2 linked regions of the Ovis aries genome follow. The protein of the gene in region 1 interacts with the protein of each later gene in a biochemical or structural test. Links are inferred from orthologs where the notes say so. Each region holds a gene or a part of one and is shown on either strand. Other genes may lie near its edges. The genes, in order: NR4A3 and SIX3.

Region 1 (8,230 bases):
ATCCCTCCCAGCTTTCTGTCATCTGCAAATGTGATCAGCATGCCTTCTATGCCTTCATCCAAGTTTTTGATGAAAACTCACTGTATTTTTTAAAAAAGACTTTTAATTTAATTGATTTGAGTCCAATTTTTGATAATTTTGTAAAGCTATCTAAAAGCAGGAGAATCCAAGCTATGAGGTTCGATCTGATTCCAAAACAATGCAATTAAAATGGATATGCTTTGCAAAATTGAACCAGGCCCCAAAGGTAGTATCATCGTGACCCAGACTCTGGCATGGTCAATCTGCTATTTTGGACAAAGCTAACAATTAAATTGGATAAATGTTTGTTGATGAGGATGATGACTCTAGTCTAACACACTGAATGGTGCAGAAGCAAGCAAACATAGTGGATTGATTTTTCAGTGTGGACAGTTCCCAGCTGGGACAACTCAAAGTATGGGACAGGGTTCACCACTGAATAACTAATTAGGCCACGTAGACCAATAATTGGATGATTTGTGCCCCTGCCATCATCACTTTGTGGATAAAATTCTTTGGACTGGCCATGGTCATTGCCAATGCCCTAGTACAAGGTCAGATTGTGTGTTGTAGCCTCAGTGGAGGCAGTGCCAAGAAGTTTCATTAATTCAGACAGATTGCATAAGGGAAGGCCAGAGTTGGTTCATGGAAAAGTCTTTATTCCCAAACACTTTTCCATCATCCATTCTCACTGAAACCAGAGAGGCAGGAAATTGTGGTCTTAGGAGCACAGACTTTGCGGGGAAAATTGGACCAATTGGCTTCTAATTCTATCTCAGATACATATTAGCTAGGACACCTTGGAGAAGGAAATGGCAACCCACTCCAGTACTCTTGCCTGGAAAATTCAATGGATTGAGGAGCCTGGTAGGCTACAGTCCATGGGGTTGCAACGAGTTGGACAAGACTGAGCAACTTCACTCACTCACTCACTCATGTGACCTTGGGCAAATCAGTTCTTTAGGCTTTCTCACTTTTAATCTCTTCATCTATGAAATGGCAACCATCACACTTACCTTAGTGGTTTTGCTACATAGCACCTGACATATGTAGTGTTTATACTCATTAAAGCATTCAACAAATGACAGAATAAGAAGGTATGGTCAAGGAGATAACATACAGGGTACTGAGCTAAAGCTCTGACAAGTATCTTATTTAAATTTTATAAAAACAATCTTGGGAAGTAGATATTATTATTATTGTTCCATAACACAGATGAGGAAGGTGAGATATTAAAAGATTTAATCAGTTGCTCAAGGTCACCCAGCTTGGAATGTATTGGTCATTCCAATACATGACGGTATTGGAATTTTACTTGAAGCCTGCACGGTTCCAAAGCCTTAGCCCTTTAACCACTGCATTATTCAGTTAAACTATTATTTGAGACTTGACTGCAGTCAAGAGATGCTACTTGTAATCAGAACAAGAGTCCTCAACCTTTGATGCTAAGGACCTACCATGCTTCTCATAGGGAGTCTTGTGCTCCAGAGTGCAAAGGAGGCCTCACAGCCTAAAAGGAGGGAGGGGATGAAGGAAGGCAGATCACAGCAGGTAGACCAATCACCCTTTCATTTCCATCAACACTACAACCTAAGAAGAGGGCAACAGCAGACACACTCACACTCTTAGCCAACCCTTCAACCAGAAGTTCAAGATACTGATTGGACCTGGAGAAAGCAATCTGGTAATTGCTACCAAGCCAAATCAACCAACTGGGGATCCCTTGACTGGTTTCTCTCTCCTCTGTGTGGAAATTGTGTTTGTAAGTTTCCTTGTCTTAGAGTGGGAGTAACTATTCTTACAGTTTATGGTTCTTTAAATGGTTGTTAGATGAGACAAAGTACAATGTCTAGCATGTAGAAATGGCTGAATAATTATGATCTTTTTCCTTTCTTTCTTTCTCTGGTGAGACCCTGCCTTACTAGAAGTTTGCTTTTCTAAGTCTCTTTTAAAATTGTCTTCCAATAATATTTATACATTTGCTCAGAAAATCGTTCTTCTTCATGTTATCCAAATTTCTGGGAATTTTCAGGTTTCAAACTGATGATATTTCACTATATCCCATATCAAATAAAAGTGTTGATATATTTTGGTTGACGTAACAACACTGGTGGTCATTTTCAGTTTCAAATGTTTTCTCAACCATTGTTCCTATGTGACTGATGTTCAAAACATCCCTCTGAGGTTAAATATTGTAATCTCCACTGTAAGGATGAGAAAGCCAAGAGCAGGAGCCAGGTGACCCAGGCAGGAAGCAGCAGAGGCAACATTCCATCCCAGTCATCCTGATGTCAAGGCCAGAGTTTGCTCCTCTCCATCAATGGTCTAATCCCTCTCCATAAGCAGTAGGTCAATCAATGCCAGTGCAACTGGGTAAACTGTTTAAGGATAACTTGAGGCTTACCCAGCTGGTTTGGTCACAATATGAAAAACACAGTAGTCATGTTGTCTAAAGCACGAAAGAAATGTACAAATTGTAATTCACCTGTGCAGATTTTCATTGGCATAACCATCAGGAATCCTGCAACAATGGGTATGACAGGTGCAGCACTGTCAGGGTCATTTGTTAAGGCATTTAGAGATTCAATAAGGCAAAAATTATTTGGTGCAATGGATGCACTGGAATTGCTAAGTGAAGTGAAAAAATAGAGAAAAGATATGAAAATGGTTGAGCACAGTGCCAGACACAAGTCATTCAATCCAGGCTTATTACTAGCATCATGAATAGAGACCCTGATCATTCACTCAAAAGCAGGATATCATAAAACTTACTCTGGAATAATCAAGATCTCTGGGCGTTGAGTCTGTTAAAGCTCGGACAAGGGCATTCATCATACAGATCGGAGGAGAAGGTGGAGAGGGCTGAGAGGCTTCCTGCTGTAATGGGCTCTTTGGTTTGGAAGGCAGCCGACCTCTCCTCCCTTTCAGACTGTCTGTACGGACAACTGATACCAAGAGAAAAAAAGAAAAAATGTCTCCAAAGATATCCACAAACAGCCATAAATCACAGAAAGGAAACAAAACACTTTACAGCTGAGCAAATCATTAATGAGACTGACTGTTTAAAAGTGGAAAAAGTTTGGAGTAATATCCCCACAATGATTTAATGAGAGTTGAAACAGCCAGCATAACAGCCACCCCATACGTACTTTTGGTAATGAATTAGCCCTAAAAGTCTCCTTCTCAAATAGAAGAAAGATGTATGTACACAAGCTCTCTATTGATTTTGAGAAATTAGAATAAGCAGACCTCTGCTATTTTTAAATGTAAATACACCATAAAAATAGAATGCTGAAAGGAAAGGGAAACTAGGAAAATTCACCATCCCAAATGTAAATATTAACTTTTTTCAGGGATATCTGAGAATATTTACAAGCAAGTTGGATAAAAAGCATTATACCCATACCTTCTTTAACCATTCCGACACTGAGACACTTCTGAAATCGACAGTACTGACATCGGTTTCGACGTCTCTTGTCTACGGGGCAGTTTTTATTTGCCAGGCAAACATATTTTGCATTTTTCTGCACTGTTCTCTGAGGAAATACAATACACAGATAGTCAACTAATAGTTTCTGGAAAGAGGTAGGACCTGACAAGATGTATTTTAATTACAATGTGAAAAGCGACAGTGCAATTCGTATAATTAGATAAATTTAATTTCCTAACACACTAGCCTGCAGGAAAAACAATTTTATTAGTGTTAGCTGCTGACAATGAAAATCATCTCGGATTGTTCTGAAGCAAGTCTCAGGAGACATCCAAGTCTGAATGATAAAATCATATCTGAAATTACCAGGTCAACATATCATACCTTGGAGGATTAAATTATCTTCACTTTTAATATCCCCTTGGGAACAATTTTCTACTTGGTCCACTCCCCTGATTATTGCTGACCTTATTAAAATAAAATCAAAATTATCTGGGATATACTTTGTTGCCTATCACTATTGTAAGTCAAATGTCACAGAAAGCGGCTTTGTCCACCAATAGAGATGAAATCATAAAGAGCAAAAATGAGGACTTCTCTAGGTTTAACATATAGGAAATAAAGTTTTAATGCAAAAACAAATCACTTAATCAGCCTTTGCAGTGTATTTTATTTTTAAAAGAATGGTAAACTGTCCATTTCTGACTTTTGAAAGAAAAGATTTAAAACTGGATACTAAAAACCACTATCACATCCAAGAAAAAACAAACAAACAAAAAAGAATGAGATAAAGGAAGGAATATGAGGGCCATATATTTTCAATGAAAATTCCCATTAATAGGTTATGTCATAAATGACTATTGACATGAACAAAATAGCCATATTGTAAAAGATGCAACATTAAACTTGGGTCTGGATATAAAATAATGTTGTATTCTTCAGAATCACATACACTTTTAAAATGAAACATGAAATAATAAAAGATATTTTATGCTCCAGATACAAGAGAATGCTTGATTTAAAAAAATAAAAATAATTTGTGCAAATGGATGTATATTCACCACTCATTCAGAAGTTACCTGAATCTATTCAACTCCAAATAGAGCAGAAAGGTGAATTTATTTGGTAAGCCTGGGCTACATGAAAAAAAAAAAATCTAGGTAATCTAGGACTGGTGATCTATTTTGTATCTAAAATTCTAGATTTACTTTCTATCTTTTAAATTTTCAGCAATTTTCAATCCTCTTGTATCTGTTTTTACTCTATCACCTTTTAATTTCATTTTAAGGGATCGTTTCTAAACTGCTTATATAAAATTTAAAGCTAGATACATTTTCCCTGCTTTAGCAGGTGATTTTAGTTCAAAATGAGAAATTTCAAAAATACAACATACTTCTCATGTTTCCAGCATTTAAATTTGCAGCAGTCTGTAAGGGTAGGAAACCTGTGTTTCCGGAATGAAGCTCTCTTTCATTGTAATTAAAAGCTCTCTTTCAAAGTAATTTTAGAAAACTGTATTTCTTATCATCATCCGCAAGGATATACCAATTTGAGTGCTGGTGGCATTTTGCTTCAGGTATATGTTTTCCCAATAACCTGAAACCTTCCTAACATTTGTGTGTGCTTGCACAACTGTTTAAGGACAGGGAGAGATCGTTATGGTTCAATCACTGAATTCCCATCATTAACTGCACTTCATGTCACATTTTTAAAGAATTCAATTTAATGGTAGAAAGCCACTGGGTAAAACCTGCTCCTGCTCCCTTAATTAACAGATCCGTGTGTGGGGTGGTTCTCCCCTATCCTACCCCCACCCATTCAAGTATAGATTTGTTTTCGAGGTATTGCTGTAGAAAAAGGATGCTTGTTGGGGAACACAATTGACATTTCTAGACCAGAAATTTATTATCACTCCTGCATTTAGGTCAACTCTCAATTATTCAGGGGTGGTTATATTTATGGATTACTTATACTTCTCATAATTGTTTTTCTTTCTTTTCCCCCTTCTGGCTGCCTGTTTCACTGCCTTTTAGCATTTCCACTGAAACACCGTAAAAATCAAATCTGCTGAAGAAATGCAGTTACTTGACAGAAAAAAAACGGCTAAACTGATGGTTCTACATTTAAGACATCATAATCTAGCATACCTCTTGTATGGTGCTTAATATATTGTAAAATCTTTCCACAACTATTTTCTCATTTGTCTGTAGAATTTAATTAATCATATGATTCCTATCTCCAGATCAAAAATAACTGTTGCTTATTGGTATGTATACCAATGTACACATGTGCATTTTTCATAAATATTTTGTAGTTTTCATTTACGATGTACTATTCTTTTATGACCCTTTAAAAATTATATTTTCAAAAATGTTTTATCTCATTTAAAACTAACATTTCTTCTCTGCATTGTATTCACTTGATAGGGAAACTGAGGTCTGGAAGAAAGTGTCTACCCAACATCATAAAATTGATAGGTGACAGATCAAGGATTCCTTTCTGGTTGTTCTGACTCATAATTCCAGCACGCTCAAAGATCCAGCCTATTGGCCTCCCAAATCCTCATTACCCAGTCAGCATCCAGCTTCTCCTCTCTCTCCACCCTGGCCAGCGCTGGAGCTTAGGAAGTGAGAATTGTGGGAGAACATTCTTGGATTTGCAAATACCTGATGCAATGACCAAGGCAGTGAGAACAGGGAGGGTGGTGCAGAATTAAGTGTCTGGGGTTCAAGAGCAAAAGTAGAGCAGTAAGAGAACAAGGCCTCTTCTCTTTGAGTGGTGCGAAGAGCACTGAACTCCAGAGTAGCAGAAACTAGCTGGAACTGTCCCCATGTGCCACTAAATCACCTCTTTAACCTTCAATATCCTCATGGGTAAAATAAGGGGGAGACTGAAGACCCCTCCCACTGTAAAATTCTCCTTTGGGTCTATGAGCTAATGAAGAGTGTCCACACTTGGCCTTGTGTGTGGCACAGAAGTGGAGCAGATTGATGAGACTCCAGCTTCTCTCTTCTGCAAGGGGAGCTGCCCCAAGCTTCATTCCCCAGATGTCCCTGTCTCTTCTTCAGCTGTTGAACTGTGAAGAAAGCATGCACTTTGGGGTCAGGCAAACACCAGTCGGCATCCTGCCTCCATCTTACTTTCTGAGTGTGTGTCTAGGGGCTGTTGAATAACTTCTCTGAACCTCCATCTCCTCATCTATAAAACAAGGATAACTAATTTAAACCCTCAAGATGCTGTTCATAAAACTAGCTAGTGGGTTGCCAAAATTCAATCTCAGTTCTGTCTGATCTAGAGTCCTAGCTCTCACTAGGAGGATTAAATGAGATACAAATACCCAAGGCCTGGCACACAAGGCTCTATTCCTTCAGACATTTGGGATGGATAGAAGAGGAATACAGAGAGATGTGTGCATTTTTGAGATCACAGATCCCTTTGCGAATCTTCTGAAAGCGCTCTCCAGAAAAAATTGCAGCCGGTAAGGCCCATCGGGAAGTTCACAGTCTCTGCAAGCCCACCTGGGGCAGCCTCCTGTGATGGACATCAAGTTAAAAGGCCCCAAGAAAGTGGGTGTGAAGGTGTTAGTAAAGGCTACAGGAATGCGCAGTGACATCACACCTCTAATGGTCAGGACCGGGAAGGACCCGAGTAGATGCTCTCAGCGGGTGGCTGGGGAGGCTGGCAGTGGAGGGGAGGGGACCCGGGAGGAGGCGAGCGGCTCACCTTGAAGAAACCCTTGCAGCCCTCGCAGGTGCGCACCCCGTAGTGCTGGCAGGCAGCGTTGTCCCCGCACACGGCGCACGTGCCCTCGCCCGAGGCCGAGCTCCTGCTGGGCGGCGACGGCAAACTGGGGCTCTCGCCCAGGAGGCTGGACGCGGTAGGGGAGGCCGTGAGGCCCAGCGGCGGGAAGGCCAGGGCGGGTGCCCTCTTGGCCAGCGGCAGCCCGTACGGGTGGCCCTCGAGCCCGGCGGCCTGGCTGCCCGCGGCGGCGGCTGCGGCGGCGGCTGCGGCGGCGGCTCCCAGCGGAAGGCTAAGTGCGGCGGCGGCCGTCGGGTCGTAGCCCAGGTGGTGGCCGCCGGCGGGGCCCGGCGCGGGCGGGTGCGGCGGCGAGGGCTTGAAGTGGAAGAGTGGGAAGCGCGCGCCGGCCACCGTGGGCACCGCCTTCATCGGCGGGTCGAGCAGCGTGCCGGGCGCGATGCAGCCAGGCGCCGAGGACATTGCGTCGTCCCACATCGCCCCAGCCTGCGAGGGGAAGCCCGGCGTGGTGGGGGTGGACGGCGGGGACTGCTTAAAGTACATGGAGGTGCTGGGTAGCACCTCGTCCTCCGGCCCGGAGGGGGGCGGAATGGATGGCTGCTGCTGCGGCTGCTGGTGGTGGTGGTGGTGGTGGTGGTGCTCATGGTGATGATGGTGGTAACCGTGCGCGCGATCCTCCTCCATCTTAATCAGCGGCCGTGGCCCCGACGGCTGCATTTGGTACAGGCAGGAGGGCTTGAGTTCGTAGTTGCTGGAGTATCCCTCCATGAAGGTGCTGAAGCTGGGCAGGGACGTGGTGGCTGTGGCAGTGATCTCGGTGCTGCCAAGGTCCATGGTCAGCTTGGCGTAGTCAGGATTCATGATCTCCGTGGTGTAATCCGAGCCATATGTTTGTGCTGCATAACTGGAACCTGGCGGTGAAGGGCTATACTGGGCTTGCACGCAGGGCATATCTGCAGGGAGAGGAAAAAGGAACTCTCAGAAGCGTCTTCCTAGCTAATGGGTGGCAATGGATTCGTTGCT
Region 2 (9,002 bases), on another chromosome or scaffold:
AACCGAGGACCCAAGGCGCCGGGCGGGCGGGTGAACCCAGCCAGTCCCCTCCCAGTCCCCGCAACCCCCGCCTCCGGGTTGGGGCGACCCGGCCTCTCCCTGGCGCTGCTGGGCCAGCCCCGGAGGGAGGCTGGGCAGGTGCCGCGGGCTCTGCCGAAAGCGCTGAAATCGAAAACCGTCGCCACTCCAGGAGAACTGAAGCAAGTGGGGCTGAGGTTCAGCTCGGCGGCACCTCTGCCCCCAGCCTCAGCCAGGGAGCCTGCCGAGCCGCCGCACCCCTCCGGCGGCTTGCTGGGTGCAAAGCCGGGCGGAGGGCGACAGACAGGCGCGCAGCTTTGTGCGCCGGTCCAGGGCCAGGAGCGGCGGGGTGGGCGCGCAGCCCGGGGCTGTCTGAGCCTCCCCGCAGAGCCGAGCTCCGAGCAGCCCACCGAGCCCACCCCGCGGTCCCGCAGCTGCCAACGGCTCTCCGCTCCGGCCTGAAGCACCACGCCTGCCGCCGGGAGCCCGTAAGTTGAGAGTCCAGGGAGCTGGGGAGGGAGGCGGGGCGGCTTGTCCGCGGCACGGATGGCTGGACTGGCTCCCGGCCGAGCTGGGAGGACAGACTCGGCAGGATGTCGATCTAAGGTGCTGATGGGAGGTTGGTGGGGAGGTGGAGCGGTAGAGCTTCCCCTCCCAAATTCCTAGACGCTGGGCGTTGGGGAGGGATGTTAGGAGAAGGACCTCGGGTTCTGGGGCCCAGGCTGCGTGCCCCGCTGCTATGGGGATCCGAAGTGCTGGGCAGCGCGAGAGCCGGGAGGTGGGCCTGGGGGACGCCTGGAGGAGGTGGTGCGCAGGGGGCTCCTGCTCCCTGAGTCTCTCAGAGAAGGGAGATCTTGACGGCTAGGTCGGCCGCGGGGTCTCTAGGTGTCTTCTGCTCTCTGGCCGCTCAGACGCCGGGATCTGGGATATGGCACCAGTACAGGCCGAGGTCACAAAATTGTCACCATCGTCTCTGCTTTAATCCTGACCCAGGCGATGGGAAGGACAGCAGCACAGCTGATGAGGGGAGAAAGGGCTTTTGGGCTGGAAGTTAGCCTTCTCTTACCAGGACCTACTGGGCATTTACTTACAAATGTCATTCCCAACCGAGGCAGTCTCAACCACCATAAGAGGTGTCTAAGATAGTCCCACGCTCTCCTAGTTTCTGTTACCGGCAAAGCCAAGGGGTCTGGAAGCCTCCGAGAGAGGAAGACCCGAGGGCTGGGGCAGCGGCACCCACTTGACCTCGCTCATCTCCATAGGCCAGTTTGTCCTGGGGGGCAACGCTTGTCCGGCCCCCAAGACTTCGGGAGGCGGGAGCTGGCCCGCTGTCTGGGCCTCCCCGCAAGCTGCAAACTGAGGCGCTTGGCGCCGACGGCCAAGGAGGGCGCAGGGGAGCGCAGCACGCAAGCGGGGAGGCCGCGAAGCCCTTCAAGGACCCCGATTACTTTCCTTTGAATGAAAAACAACAACAACAACAACAACGGCTCCCTTTCCCGCGCCCCCGCCCCTCCTTAGCCGCCGGGCACCCGCGCTCCGAGTAATTGTCGACCAGGACAGTAAACACAGCTCAGTTGCCTCAACTTTCTCCATACATAAAAGTGCCCGGCGTGCGGGGAAATTTGAATATTTGATCAGCCCCTTTGAGTGACCCTCATTAGCCTGGCGCCCTGCTAAGGCCCCGACATTGCAAGAAAGCTGCTGGGCCCGGCATTTGTATGCCTTGTTAGCGCCGCTTAATGAAGCCGCCCCGACCGCTCAAAGGCGGCCTCCCGGCTGGCGGCGCACACCTCTCGGCACCCCGCTCTGCCTAATGAGCCCCACCGCCAGCCGAAGGCCCCTCTGCCCCCCACATCCCCAAACAAGAAAAGTTTGGCTCCGTCTTGGGCCACCGTACCTCCCACTGTCAGGCCCAGGAGAGTGGGCACAAACAAGGCCTAGCTGGCTGTGGTTACCCAGCCACAAGAGAAGAGGTGGGAGACTTGGGGAGGGGGGGGGGCAAGGGGTGGTTTGTGGCCTTTGGTTGTAGCCTAAGGAGAGCGCTGCCAACATTTCTCAAGAGGGTCAATTTCAAATCAGTCACCCCAGTTCCTTAAAGAACTGCAAGTGGACTAACCTTGGTGTGGCAGAGAGTAGATGCCCATGGAGGGTCAGCTTTCCATCTCTTTCCTCCTCCAAATTCCTTTGGTCTCCACTGCCTAGGAGGCTGCTTCTTTTTTTTTTTTTTTTTTTTTTTTTGCAGAGATCCCGGGTATAACAGCCAGAACTGGTGTGCTAGGGCTTGGAGTTAAGGGGTGGGCACACCATCATTGCTCCCACCATCCACAGACCTCAAGCACAGTCAAATGTTATGATAGTTGACACTAGGAAAGGCAAGGTACCACAGTGCACCCTGTCCTTGCCCCCAATCCTAGCCACGATGTCTCTTGCTTTTTTTCTTTCATCGCACATCGGGTCTCCAGGAGGCCTGAAAAAAAGCACTCCAGGCAAAAGGCCACTCTGCACAGGATCAACCCGCTGCTAGGGTAAGACTAAGGCTAAAACAGGCCTGAAGGAGAAAAAGAGAGGGAGACATGTGGAAAGAAGGAGGACTAAAGCACCATCTACTTCTCCTTTTCTTGGTCGGACAAGTGACATTGTTGACCAGCAAATGTCAGGAACCTTGTTAGCAGTTGGGCTTCAGTGCTTTGAAAGAGTAGACTCCTTCCCCTCTCTACCCCCTCTCTCCCCTGATGTCCCTTTCCCTGGACAGTTGTTACTCAAGGCCCCTCCTTGCTTACCCAGCTCTTGGGCTTTTAAGGGTTACTTATGGCGGGATTAATAGACAGAGCTTGGAAAGTAGGTTGCTCTCAGGTCCACACTCTGGGCATTCTGGAGGTGCCCACCCCCACACCCCCATGCCCACGATCTCTCAGACACACATGGGCTGGCCAGACTGGTAACCTCTGGATCCCATTCCAGAATGGCCACCTCTAGGAATGAGTGGCTCCATCCAGCTCTCATCCTCTGCCAAAAGGCCAGGTAGGCCTTGGGATGGCACAGCCTTCTGAATCCATCTGGCCTGCTCCTCTTCACCTCTCTCCCCCAGCTCAACTGGCATGCTCCGCCCCTTTTTCCATTCCACGACCTCCTAATTCAAGCCCAAACTGAAATCATCTCTGCCTTAGGCAAGGCAGTGCTTGGGGCCTTGATCCATGCAAAGACCAAAGGTAGGAGCCAGGAGGAGAGGAGTTGAGGCTGTTGGAGAGAAACGGGGTCCTAAGGCGGAGGGTATAACTCAGCTCTGTGGCCCCAAGGCCAGGCCCACCAACTGCTCAGGGGAGGAGGCGAGAGGAGGGGGCTAGGAGTCCGCGGGCCTCGGGACAGGAGGGACCTGAGGCGTCGGCGTGGGGGGCTAGATCCATAGGAGAGGGGCGGGGAGGCGGGGGTCGGGGGAGCGCGCAGGGCGAGGTGGCGAGGGTGGGGGGAGGTTTGCGGTCTTTAAGAGCCACACTGCTGGCAGGAGAAGCGCGAGGCCGGGTGCTGGTAGCGCCTTGACCCCGAAGGGGATTTAGCGGGAAGGGAGCGGCCGGGCTCCAGGGGCTTTGTCCCGGGGCAACCAGAGAGGCCGAGGCACAAGAATAAGGAGCCACCGCGTCTTTAAAGGCCGCGAGGAGGCGGCGGGGCTGCTGCTCTTGACTTCTGAGCGGGGCTTAGAAAGCCTGTCCCGGCTTAAGCCGAACTGCGAGTGCTGGGCCCTGAGCGCCGAGTCCGGGGGCTCCCAGCTCCCGGCCTCGGAACCGAGGAGGCGTGGGATGAGGGGGACACTGTGGTGGCTAGAGACCTGGCAAAGTTGCTTTTGGCTCTGCAGCCGCCGGACCCTGTTGCTGAGCTGCGAGCCTGACAGGCTGCGCCAGGCATGGCCAGAGAAATAATTTTCTTTTTCCAACTTGGGCGTTTGGTTTTGTGTGTACACCACGCGCAGCTCCGGAGCCGGCCGACCCCACACGGATTCTCAACAGGTGGCCAAGTAAGTCCATTTAAGAATTCTGGTTCTCGCACCAGCTCCTCCCCGGCCCCCTTCCCTTTTCCCCTCCCAGTCCCCCCCCCCCCCCCCCCGGCAGCCCCGAATTCCCGCTGCTCCTCCCGCGGGCGAAGGCGGGAGGAGGCAGTGAGGGAGGGACTGAGTGGCACTCTCTCCCGGGGGCCCTCCGGCTCCCAGCTGCAGACCAGCACGGCTCCACCCAGGACCCGCGGGCCCGATCACCCTTAGGTCGGTTATGGGCCTCGGTGCTCCGAGGCATGTAGGTGGCGGAACGCGCCGCAGCACCTCCAGAGTGTAGCGGGCCGGATGGGGACCCGGGACCCCGTGGCCGCGCGGCCTTTGTGGGGAGGAGGTGGGGACAGAAACCCACCTATACACCCTTTCTTATGAGAGCCCGGGATCCAGCCCCGGGGGAGCAGTCGCCAGCTATATACAGCAGCCTGCAGAGGAGCGTCTTGGGGGCCAGGACTGGGGACAGGTTGGGGGAGGTGGAGAGGGCAGAAGCGGGAGAAGGAAGCAGAGAAAGGCAAAGGCAAGAAATCCGGAGCGTCCGAGTGAAAAGTCAGAAAAATGTCCTCAGAGCGCGCGGGCAACACGCGCTCGCGCCCGCGGGTGCACATCCTCTCCCTCTCACACACACGCACTCGCACCCACTCCACACAGGTAGCCCACGCACGCGGCCTTGGCAGTGCCGGGTCTCCTGCGCCGGCGCCCCAGCCCAGCCGGGAGGGAGTCGCCCTCCTACTCCCCTTCCTCGGCTGCCAAGAACCCCTCCGCCCCGCCAACTTTGCCCCGAGACTGATTGGGGAGCTGGGAGCACCCCCACCCCTCCCAGGTCTGGGAATCAGGGAGGATCTTACCTGCGGAAAGGTAAGGGAAGCCGGGAGCAGGAAGCAGCGGCGGATAAATATTCATTAGGAAGTGTGTCTCCTTTTAAACCGCGCGGCGCGCGCTCTGGCTCCTATCTGTCTCCCTCCCTCTGTCCTCTTGTGAGGCTCTCTCCCCCTCTCGCTCAGTCTCCCCCCAACCCCCACCCTTTCCTGCGAAATGCCGGGTGGATCCCTGTCTAGCTAACCTGTTGGGAAGCCTGAGCTGCGGGCAGCGCCTCCACAGCTGTTTGCCTTCGCTCTTGGGGCGCGTGTTCCCCATCCTTCCTCCCTCCTTTCGCCCAGCCCCTTACCCCCTCCTAAATTACTACATCATTAGCTTTATTTTCCGGTGGGGGGGGGTAACGGCGCAGCACGATGCACCTCCCCAAAGCAGGGCGAAAAGCCGGAGATTTCAGAAGCTGCCCAACTCCATCTCAACCAAGTGTAGTTTTTTTCTTCTCCATTCTTTTCATCTCCACCTCCACCCTGTACCAGCACTACTCCATCCGGATCCCCGGCTGGGTTGGCAGTGAGACTCCAGGTCCGCAGGTCCTGTGCTCGAGCTTGGGACTTCACCCTGCACTGGACGTTGGGATAGCTCTCTGAGTCCCCCTTTCCCACGTAGGTTTTCTAGGTTGACCCAGTGTGGGCAGCTGGGCAGCTTGGAATTCATGATCAGAACCCCGGGGGCGTATAGCAGGAGCCTCACCTCTCCAGGCCTCAGGGGCCCCGGGTCTTGGCCCTTTGACCGGGCCTGGGAGGCTGTATGGAGGGTGGGAGAGAGGTGGCCTCACTTTGTGCGAATGCCCAGGAGATAGGCCGACGCACTGACAACAGCCTTTCACGAACAAACTGACCTGAAGTTAGCCGCGAATACTCATCCTTCTCACACTCACGGGAAAACACATCTACAGGATTCCAGGAACGCACCGGTCCCCGCACCATCCCTGCGAGAACAGCTTCCAGTCGCCTGCTAGCCACCCGCATTCCCATCCCAGCACGCCGGAGGCCAGCGCTCCCGCCGGCTTCGGGGACTAGAAGACGCGCGGGCCAGCACGGCGGCGCCCGGCGGAGGGATACATCGCACGGCGGTCGCGGCCTGACCCTGACCACCCCACTTGGTACCCTTCCTGTCCGCTCCAGGCCCTTAGGCCTCTCCGAGGACTCAAGAGATGGCGTGGCCCTTTAGGGTGCGTGGCGGTGGCAGGGGCTCAGGGTCCGGCAGCCGGCTGAGCTTGGAGCGCCGAGGTGGGGGCGGGAGGAGGGGCCGAGGGGGCGGTCCCAGGCCAGCTCCCAATTACAAATACAACCGGTCCCGGGAGGAGGCCGAGGAAGAAAGTTTCTCCCCTAAAGACGTAGATTACTCACCCTCGAGGCGCCTGGACTTTCATTGTTGGTTCCTAAAAGGTCCCCAGGATCCCGGGGCGCCCTGGTCCAGTTGGTGGCCTGCGTGGAGGGGTGCAGTGGCGCGCCTCCAGGCGACTTCGCGAACTCCCCCACCCCTCCCATTTGGCCTGGCCCAGCCGAAATCCACCAAGAGAGATCCCAAAGGCCGTTTCGACCCTTCTACCCCCTCCCCCCACCCAAGGAACAAGGCTCAGGATCCTCGGAGGATCGCCCTCTTCCTGAAAAGTTAAGATGGGGAGGTGTAAGGTGTAAGAGAGGCCTAGAAGGCCCTGGGGCCGGAAAACCGTATTAACCTCGCGCCCCACCTAAAGCCCCGAATTTACACTTGCACACTTCCTCCTCTCCACGCAGACTCAGGGGGTCGCATACGTCGGAGCTCAGGCTTTAAGCTGAGTCACCTGACTGTACACGGAACGTACATGCAATTGTACCCGAATGCACGGGAGAATTAGAGGAATACTAACAGCAGGATTGGGGAGGGGGGGAAGAAATGTCCACAGACAGTATTATTTGAATGAACGGGGGCACACCCAGTTGTGCAGATGCAGACAAAAGCCGCAGTGGCCGCGCGCGGAGTGACCCCAGCCGCAGGCAGGTGTGCAGGAAGCCACATACAGGGAGAGTGGCTCGAATGAGGATGCGGAACGCGAGGCCAAGGGCTTCCTGCTAGAGAGACGGACGTTGGCTCCCCGAAGGAGAAACTTTGTTAAGCCGACTGGGTGAAACGTTCCAGATCAAGTGCTGGAGACTAGAAAGAGCACCGCATCCACCCCAAAGCTGCCCCTTTTACCTTCTTCTAAGCTGGGCTGGAGACCCCCAGAAGAGGGCAATCCAGAAAAGATTTATTTTGACCCGGATTATTTGTTATTACTGTTGGTTTATGAGATTGTGTTCTGAAGGATGGGGTGGAAAGCATAGACGCCTTCACGCAAAAGCTGGGAGATTTCTAATAGGAATGTTCAGCCCCAACCAGGGTTCAAGAAGCCAGGGGGCCCTTATTTTGCCCCCCTATTTCCCTTTATGCCAAATTTAGTCGTTAAAAAGAGCCTTAGCTAGCTGCATCCTCTCCTACCTTCACCTCCACCCCAATTCCCTGTATATCAAATCCACAAAAGAACACTCCAAAGCAAACTGAATTATTTGGTTTGTCAGACTGATTTTCTTGGTGAGATATTGTGAAGTTCTCACTCCCTATTGCTCAGTTCCAAACAGAACCTACTGTCCTGGTCAACTTGGAAGTCAGGAAGGGGGATTTCTAGAGTAGCTCTCCCAAAAGCCAAATGCACAGGCTTGATTGTGGTTTCAGCTCTTTTTGCTTGCCCCCGTCCCAGTAAACCTTCCAGATAGTAGCCACCATGGTTTTCCTGCAGAAGAGGCTAGCACCCTGGGTGTAATGGTGCCCTTACATCCACTTCACTTCCCTCCCTAAATCTCTCTCTAAAAGTAGAGAAAAATAGGATGGGGAGGGAGGAAGAGGGTTTTCTGGGCTAGCAAGTAGATGTCCATCCTGCAAGGGGGTAGAGGAAGGTTCCTCTTGTGAAAAAGAGATGAGCTATTTTGTAAACAGGGAAGGAGGGCAGGTTGAAGCAGATGTATAGTTGCCCTAGAAATGTAGAGGGTAGAGTAGGGATTTGAATAGGAAAGAATGTCTTCCCTTTGGGGGTCAAACCCTCTGCCCTTTCTCCCCCTGTACTTAATTCCTGGAAATTTTAGCAAGAGTCGTTTTGAACAATAAAGAGTGAATCACTTTAAAGTCTGTTAATGTTTCTTGGAAGGGCAGTTCCTTTCAAGACCTTTTTCTTTCTCCAGGTCTGTTTTTCCTTATTCTGTAATAAGGGTCCACCTGCTGTTGTACCTCAGAAGGAGACTGTGGCAGAAGGGGTGGGGGTGAATAAAGGGACCATTGCTCCCACACCCGAAGCGTAACTTCCATTCCCTGTAGCTGAGATTCAGGACATGTGGAAGCAAACTCCTTTCCCTTGGGGCATTTCTTTCTCCCCTTTGGATAGTTTATTTAGACCCTTTCCAATAATAAATAACAGTCAGCATTTTAGAGTTGGAGATGTTGGCTATTACTTACCAATGAATTCTACAAGATTCTCCAGACTGCTTGTTTGATTTAGAAAACTCCGGTTACATAGCTAAGCTCATCGCAGCATTTATCACTCAAGCAGAAAAGCAGCTCGTTTTCTCATAGCCCCACATGCCCCATGTACACTCACTGGAGCGAATTTATTTTACTCTGTGTTTCCTAAACGCCCTTGTCACCGCTGCCCAGCCACCGGGCTCAGGGTAAAACTAGGGAGGTTTGTGACCTCTGGAATGGGGGTGCACTGTGTTGTTAGAGTTTTTTGTTGTGATGAGTTCTTAGTGATTGTGAGCTCCTCTCCCTCCCTCCCTCCCTCCCCCGCCCCAGCCTCTCCCTCTTTCTCCCTTTCCTTGGTCCCAAATGAGCCAACGGTGGTTGCACGCGTCTTCCTTACGAGAAACCCGCCGCTCAGATGGAAGCAAACCATTTCCGCTGCCCGGGGCAAAGGGCTGAACTTCTTGGTCCAGTCCAGTGCTGCGGTGGGAAAGTGTGTGTCGGGGGCGGGGGATGTCTATGCGGGTGGAGGAGGGGCAACCATCACCTTCCACAATAAAAATAACCAGATGCCCCTTTAATCCCTCCCGTTAACAGTGTC

What was found.
Region 2: the proteins of NR4A3 (region 1) and SIX3 form a complex in vitro, tested with the Homo sapiens proteins (3 studies listed by BioGRID). The link is inferred for Ovis aries from reciprocal best matches to the Homo sapiens genes NR4A3 and SIX3.

The regions. Positions count from the first base shown.
Region 1 is NC_056055.1:48,002,797-48,011,026, forward strand, and holds part of NR4A3 (nuclear receptor subfamily 4 group A member 3), read right to left. Parts: intron 8,161-8,230; coding exon 7,175-8,160; intron 3,558-7,174; coding exon 3,428-3,557; intron 2,967-3,427; coding exon 2,794-2,966; intron 1-2,793. UniProt on the Homo sapiens protein: Transcriptional activator that binds to regulatory elements in promoter regions in a cell- and response element (target)-specific manner.
Region 2 is NC_056056.1:79,389,993-79,398,994, forward strand, and holds the start of SIX3 (homeobox protein SIX3), read right to left. Parts: upstream 5,006-9,002; 5' UTR 4,958-5,005; coding exon 4,903-4,957; intron 4,028-4,902; exon of another isoform or gene 3,530-4,027; intron 507-3,529; exon of another isoform or gene 184-506; intron 1-183. UniProt on the Homo sapiens protein: Transcriptional regulator which can act as both a transcriptional repressor and activator by binding a ATTA homeodomain core recognition sequence on these target genes.